Linked DNA regions of Tribolium castaneum. The protein of the gene in region 2 purifies or fractionates together with the protein of the main gene of each other region. This does not show direct contact. Links are inferred from orthologs where the notes say so. Each region holds a gene or a part of one and is shown on either strand. Other genes may lie near its edges.

Evidence for each region.
Region 1: the proteins of Cpsf4 (region 2) and Sym purify together in Homo sapiens (affinity purification with mass spectrometry; 4 studies listed by BioGRID and IntAct, counting the BioPlex papers as one, with this or other methods). This does not show direct contact. The link is inferred for Tribolium castaneum from reciprocal best matches to the Homo sapiens genes CPSF4 and SYMPK.

The regions. Positions count from the first base shown.
Region 1 is NC_087398.1:8,155,992-8,160,367, reverse strand, and holds the start of Sym (symplekin), read right to left. Parts: upstream 2,954-4,376; 5' UTR 2,806-2,953; coding exon 2,767-2,805; intron 2,717-2,766; coding exon 2,520-2,716; intron 2,476-2,519; coding exon 2,086-2,475; intron 2,039-2,085; coding exon 1,752-2,038; intron 1,704-1,751; coding exon 1,243-1,703; intron 889-1,242; coding exon 1-888. Other genes in the region: GRIP and coiled-coil domain-containing protein 2-like, read left to right, coding at 3,127-4,376. UniProt on the Homo sapiens protein: Scaffold protein that functions as a component of a multimolecular complex involved in histone mRNA 3'-end processing. Specific component of the tight junction (TJ) plaque, but might not be an exclusively junctional component. May have a house-keeping rule.
Region 2 is NC_087394.1:10,089,786-10,092,904, forward strand, and holds Cpsf4 (cleavage and polyadenylation specific factor 4, 30kDa), read right to left. Parts: upstream 1,619-3,119; 5' UTR 1,561-1,618; coding exon 1,458-1,560; intron 1,409-1,457; coding exon 669-1,408; 3' UTR 587-668; downstream 1-586. UniProt on the Homo sapiens protein: Component of the cleavage and polyadenylation specificity factor (CPSF) complex that play a key role in pre-mRNA 3'-end formation, recognizing the AAUAAA signal sequence and interacting with poly(A) polymerase and other factors to bring about cleavage and poly(A) addition.

The DNA.
Region 1 (4,376 bases), on a different chromosome or scaffold from region 2:
CAGACGTAGAATAATCCGTTTAATGTTGGCCCCCGTCTGTACGTAAACCTTAGCCAAGTCATGAATAAGACTCTCATTGGCTGGCAATAGCGAAATATACGGAATAAGACAAGCTTTTATAAAATCATCGCCCCAAGTCTCGCTCTTCAACCTCCCTTGACTAAACCCACACAAACTCTCCGGCGGCCTTTGCAACTTCAAAAACTCCAAATTCATTCGTGCAAACTCCTCAATCACCAACCTCAACTCCACCTTCTTGTGCAACTCCAAAACGTGTCCAATGGCACACTCTCTTACCACGCTCAATTCGTACGTCGTGTACGAGAGGAGGGCGTTGAGGAACATCAACTGTTTGGGGGGCTTCCGGACCGTCAAATCGTGCAACAACCCCAAAGCTGCTGTGCATTTCTTCTCGTCTCGGCACAACTGGTGGAGCTTATCCAAAGCCTCGTCTGTTATTAAAGGCGCTTCCAAAAACAATCGACAGAGCACTGCTGAGTCGTGCATACAAGCGTTTATAAATGTGCAAAGCAAGATGTTGTAGCTTTTGTCCAGTTTGGTGTCTTTGCGTAAAGGGGGCACTCTTGAGAAGCCCTGCAGTATTCCGTACTCTTCAAAAAGCCACGCCAGGGCCAGGTCTATGTGAGACCGTAAGTCTGATAGGAGAAACGCCAACACTGTTTGTCTGACAGTGGGGCTAAAGCAGGCTGCGATTGTGGTGATTAGTTTTTGGTACAAGCATTTTGCGGCTGTTTTGTCCGCGGTTAAAAGTCGGTTTATGGACCCTATTAACAATTTCTCCTTTGTTTCTTTCTCGATAGGTTTGGTGATTTCGGACAGTTTCAGTGTCTTGATTCGGGGAACTTTTGCTCGTTCCTTCTTCAGGAGCTACCAAATGTGTAAAACATGTTGTAAAACAAATAGAGGCTTCATTATATTTTTTTTTAAGAATAATTACTAAAATTTCTTTGACCTCACAATTACGATAAGTTATCAAAACATAACTTAAAAAAAATACAGGATGCGTGATACATAACTTCTCAAATCATCCGAACCAACATAAGCTAACAGATAAAGATAAATACATAAATAAATAAATAAATAAATAGACAAATATTTGGTACAATGAATTACATCTTATCTTTTCTTAAATACAGCTGAAAATGTGAAATCTGAATTGCAAATTACTGTTTCTGTTTTACTTATTATTATATTATTTGTGTGCAAAAATTGTTTTCTTACCTTTTCCTTCTCTTCCTTGTCCTCTTCCTCCTTCTCCTGCTGTCTAAATTCCTCGACCTTTTTTGCAAAACTTTTCGAAGACGGCGAAACCCCGGCCTCAGTCAAATACGTGGCAATAAGTTTTGTCAAAACATCAAATTGGCCAACTTTTCCACTATCGACATATTTGCCATACTCTTTCGCAAAATCGGGAGACATTGTAGCCGGCAGTTTACTCATAGAAGCGAAAACCATTTGAACCGCTCTTTCCAACGTGAAATTTTCAGACACAAAGTTCTCATTCAACTCTTGCAGTGTTTGCGAATCACTGTCATTGGTGTCGTTATCGAATTCAATTTGAGGATCAAGTCTAGGTCTTTTATTGTAGATCTGAAGGGACTCAACTGAGAGAGTCCTCTTGCAATATTTCCGCCGCTCGTCGGGTTTCGGTACCATTTTAAGAATGTCTTGCTGGGAATAACCTGAGAAAAAAATCCTAAAAAATTTTTTTGCGTAAAAATAAAACGCACCTAAATCGGTGAGCATTGGGGTTAATTTCTCCACAAATTCGTAAGCCGCTGGGTGTTTGATAAGTCCAGCGAGTTCGGATTTTAATTTTTTACGCACGGAATTCACTTGAGTTGTTGTTAGAGTTGGAGGTAGGTTATTGTAAAGTGATTCAATAGCTGAGACAACTCGAGACATAAATTCGGCCCGATTTTTTGCAATGTTTGTAACAACGCCCAGGCAGGTTAACAAGTTGGCACTGCTAATATGGGGAGAGCCAAAAAATTTTAAAAGTAACTCAAACAAGGTACTAAAAAATTCAATTAGAAATTTGCGAATTTAAAAAAAAATAAATACTTTGCTTCCTCTTCTAGTTTTCGCCTCCGCGCCAATTTTAACGTCAGAGGAACATCATCGAGTGAGAAGTCGTTCGGTTTCTTGTTCTCTTCCTGGTCGGGATAAGTTTGCAACAACACAACACATTCTAAAAATTTCACTGAACTAGTCCTAATGCCGTCATTGTCACTATCAATCATATTTGCAATTTCTAATTTTATGGCAGACAATTGCTTCCAGGCGTTTTCCATTTCTTCTGTAATTACAGAAGCCTTGCATAACCAGGCCAACGTTTTGCGATAAATACTGATTAAAGCTTGAATTACGCGCTTTTGCACCGCTATTGACTCATCACATAGTAGCATATGAAGGTTTAGCATTACTTTAGGTAAAAGAGACTCGCGCATTTTGCTAAAACAAAAGTTAAGTAACCAATTAAAATGCATAAAACCTACCATAACTCTTCAATAAAACCCACTAGCGCTTTTTTCACGTCCCCATTCCTATCAGTCGTGAAATTAAGCATGTTTTGTAAAAACTTTGGCAGCAAATGGGGCGACTTCCGAATCAAAACTTCTTGCAATTTGTGGAAGTATTCAAGCTTTTCTGCAGCAGAGCGGGACACTGCAGCGCTATTTATCCATTGGGTCACCTAAAACGCGTCTCTTTACTACCGAAATCAACTAAATCTCGGTTTTTTACTAAATCCTCGTCGGAAACTTCGTTCATGGTAAAATCCATGTCGAGAGGATTTTACAACCAAAAATGACGCAATTGTTGCCACTAAAGCAACGAAATTTCGAAAACAAAGCTAGTTTTATCTAAAGCGTTAAATTAATTGAAAATGAGAGCCAATCATCCATTTTTGGAAAGCCAAAGATTGAGGTTATGGCAGAAGTGACGTGAACATGTTACCAAAAAACAGTAACTTTTCCGCTTTTTGTTGGCGACTTTTGCTGTCAAAATACTATTGATGTGTCAAAATAATAAAAAATTATTAAAATACAATGTAATTGCTAATTACTTGGAAATTACAATACAATAGATTAAGTAACTATCGAGATGGAATCGAATACGCCATCCGAAAGTGGCAAGAAAATCGTTTTGGAGAATTTATCGAAAGAGGAATTGGTTAAACGGTGCGAACGGCTTTTGATTCTCGCCCAGAAGGCCAAACAGGCGAAGGACGCGCTCCAGGAGGAAAATAACGAGCTGAAAAATAGGCTAAAATCGGAATCTGGAGATGCCACAACTGCAATTATCGAAAATTTGACCCAACAGAAGTTGCAGTTTGTTACCACGATTGAAGACTTGAAGAGCCAAAATGCCGCTTTGGTGAATAAAGTGCAAAACTGCACGCAAGACGCACGTCTGTGTGAGGAGAAGGATAGGCTTGAAAGCGAGAATATTTCGTATAAAAGGCAAATCAAGCGTTTGACGGATGAAAATGAGCAGCTGATTACGCATCTGGAGTCTCTGGAAAAGCAACTCGAAGAGTGCAAAAACCTGGGACTTGAACAGCAAAATCAGCTGCTGATGTTGGAAGAGGCGAATCAAAAGTTACGGAGTGATGACACAAGTGATAAGTCTGCAGAGTTGCAGAAGATGCTTAGTATTAGTTTAGAGGAAGTTAAGAAGTTGCAAGCTGAGAATAACACAATGAGGGAGAAAATTGACGTGCTCAAGACGAATCTGGGGGAGAAGGATAAGAACATTTTAACGATAGGCCAAGAGTTGCAGGAAAAATTGAAATTGGTCGAGGATTTAGAAAAAATCAAAAATGAAACAAGAGAAAATGTGGAGTTGGTTGAGAAACTTAAAGGGAGACTGAAATTTTATCACTCAAAAGTTGTAAAACTGGCCGGTAATGTGAAGGTTTTGAAGGAAAATAAAAACGAGGTTTTGCGTTTGCTCAAAACGTACTCACATCAAGTGGAAGAATGGAAAGAACAGTTGGGTGTAGCTTCAAAAAAGTTGTGCCAAGAAATTAGTGATATCAAAGTACAGAACTCTGAATATCACAAGGAAATTGAAGGTTTGAAAGAAAGTAATGCAAAATATCTGAAACAACTTGAGGCACATAAAACCGACGACGAGAAAAGTAAAGAACTTGGCGAGTTTGAGAGAATTTCCAAAGAACATAAGAAATTGATTGAAGAAAATCAAAGATTGTTACAACTTCAACTTGACTACCAGCAAACTGTTGAAACGCTCACTGTTGAAAAGGAGAGTCTGCTTGAGAATTTGTCTCAATTGGAGGAAAGACATCAGGAAGAAATCAAAGTTTTTGACGACCAAAGCAAGAAAGACAC
Region 2 (3,119 bases):
TGGATGGGTGACCGCTTGGGAACACCGCGTGCCGTTGCCTCCTTTTTTGTTTTATAACGCTTTAAATAAAACTTTAGGACAGTTAATCTACTCTGAGGACGAGAAAATGTTCAATGAGAGAAATTTCATTTCTCTCACCAAGTTTAATGGTATAATGTACCTAAAAAACTGCTCCTGTAAGATAATAGTATATTATATTATAAGAGATAGAAATGGATCATTATATGTAAGTGAGAATTTGACACACGAGTGCGCTTGTGCTCGAGTGGGAGTGTCCCACGAGCTTTAAAACGGTATTTCGATCACGTGTGATATACGACGTTTTATCTTACACGTGCATTAGAAAAAAATCCAAAAAATTCAAGTAAATATCCGCCTGTAACATTAGCATCAGTTTTCGTAGTGATGAAATGAACAGACTCATTGTTTTCTCCAATTTTCTCTAGATTTACTCACTTGTGAGAACAACTCTAACAGCTTTATCTCACCTCACAAACAATGGTATAATGTACCTAAAAAACTACGCCTGTAACCTAAGAAAAATAATTAGATTAATTTTTGGAAAAAGGCGAAATAAATCTACTCGTAAAAATTGTTGTTTATTTTCCTATAGAATAAATACAATAGTTTGAATAACTTTAAATATTATTTAAAAACGATCACCACTCTTATTGATCACCTTGTCCATCCTGATTGCTCTTGGCCTGTGACAAAAACGCCAAGTGCCCTTTAGGGCACCGATTTGCGTAGTGTCCCTTTGTACCACACTTGTAACAAGTAACATCTTCCAGCTTCTTAGGCAACATTTTCTGCAAATAAGAGTTCTGAGGCTCATAATGATCATTCTGTTTTCGATTCTCGTCATTTAAGGCGTCTCTGTTATCACTATTCATCTTATTACAATGTATCGCCTTGTGTCCATGTTCGTTACAAAAGTGACAAATAATAACAGGAGTGGCTTTCTTGTCCTTCTGCACCTGATCAGGGGGCGCAGGCAACTCAAACCTTGGGTGCATATACTTGCAGTTTGGCCCTTCGGGGCAAAAGCCTGCCAAGTAATTCGTACACAAAACCCTGCGCACGTGTCTGTGACGACAGTGGGGCCCATGTCGACAAAACCCACGGTCATACCAAGGACAATCCTTGATTTTACTCTCAGGGTCTATGTGTAAAAACGGACACTCTTTATTGTGACAAGCGTTAAATCTCGAATAGAAGTAACACTCGGGCATTTTTGTCATGTCATACTCGTGTAAAAACTCGCACTGGTCGCCTTTCTTGCAAAGACCTCTCAGCCAGTGTTTGCACACAATGGTTCGGTCGCCTCGCACGTGACGAAACGGACATTGGGGGCCCTTTTGACAGCCTTGTATTGAAGTGTAAAACTGACAAACGGCTGCAATTGATTCTGAAAGCAAAAAACGAGAAAATTATATTTTCGACATAACCTCACTTACTGTCCATTCCGGGAAATGGTAAGGGCAAAGCGCCGAATTGCTCATCTAGAGCCACTTCAATGTCGAATTTTATGTGGTCCACGTTGGCCACAATGCACTCCATTTCGATATTTGTAGTTTAATATTACAAAAAATGAAAACGCAACACCTTTTATTTTAACCACAACAAAATCAACTATTTGACATGTAGTCCTGCCACCATAGCCTGCCACCAGTTGGTCTAGATTGGCAGCTCTGGTTTAGTGTAAAAAATTTCAAATTCAAAAAAAAACTTAGCAAGTTTACCGTGTTCCAATCTCTGGAAAACGATACAATAATATAATAAGGAACGGCTTTAAATAAGGAAAGTAAAAAATTAGATGATCCGTTGATAGGCAGTCCGTATAGTGTGTTGCCTATCTAAAAATTACCAAAAAAAATTTATTTGCGAAACTCAAAATTAAGTGTAAATATACATTGCGAGTCAATTGTGGCTTATTTCTGAAGATTTTTTGATGCAACTAGTAATACTAGGATAATACTGGTTCCAGTTGACCACTAAATTGTCAAAAAAAAAAACAAATTTAATCCACAATTGCATTGTTCTGGGTAAAGGTTGTTCCATATCTGGTGGCGAACTGGCAGTGATATAAAAAAAAACTCTTGAAATGCACCCACTTCATTAAAAGAATGAAATAAAGGGGGTGCATTTTTTTCTCTAAAATTTACTTATTTACTTTAACATAAATTTTGAGGACGAAGATACATAGAAATATTACTATTATTATATTGTTCAATATTCTTATCTTTTTATTGTGACGCCTGTGGGCATTTTTTTTTTAATTAAACATATCTATCTTCAATGCTAAAATTCAGTCATTTTTGGCAATGTCAGTTCGCCACCAGGGGCCCGTTTCATAAAAACTACAAGTTGATTTTTACAAGTGACAAGTAAATCACTTGTAAAAAGTTTTATAAAATAGGCCGCAGATTTGGAATAAGCCTTATTGTCAAGTTTGTGTAACAGTTTTCCTAAAATTTCATTATGGACTAATTAGCGTTTCAAAATGCCAACGACGCCCTTTACCGAATTATTTTTCTAAATAACGTTTACAAAAATGTAAAATAGTTGAAATAATAAATTACATCAGCTAATAATTTTTTGAAGCGCATGAATAACATAACAAATAATTTTTAGACAAAATGCGACGTTAGCACTTCAATAGTCTTGAAACAGTTAGTATGATTTAAAAAATAAAAAACCACTAGGAGCCATTTGTTGTATACAAGGTCCGAAAATTGATTGTTTTGATAAAAATACATTGTTTAATGTATAGAGAATAACGACAATTATAAAAAAATAACAACTATTATTACTAAGATGAACAGGTGCATTTTAGGTTTTCAAATAAAAAATCGTTAAAACTAAAAGGCTTTAAAAAACGAATAACACATTCTTAAGCTCGTTATTCGAGAAAATAATTATGGTCAAAACCCACATCCCGCTATATCATTTGCTTTCGACAACAACAAAGTTAATCAAAAGTTGACATTTTAGCGAAATTTAATCTAAAAAAATATCTTCCTTATTACACAGAGTGATTCAAAAGTGATGAACAATCTCCCGGAAGCTGATAAAGGAAGCAAACTGAATTAAAAGTTCCTATGAGCCTTCTATCACGA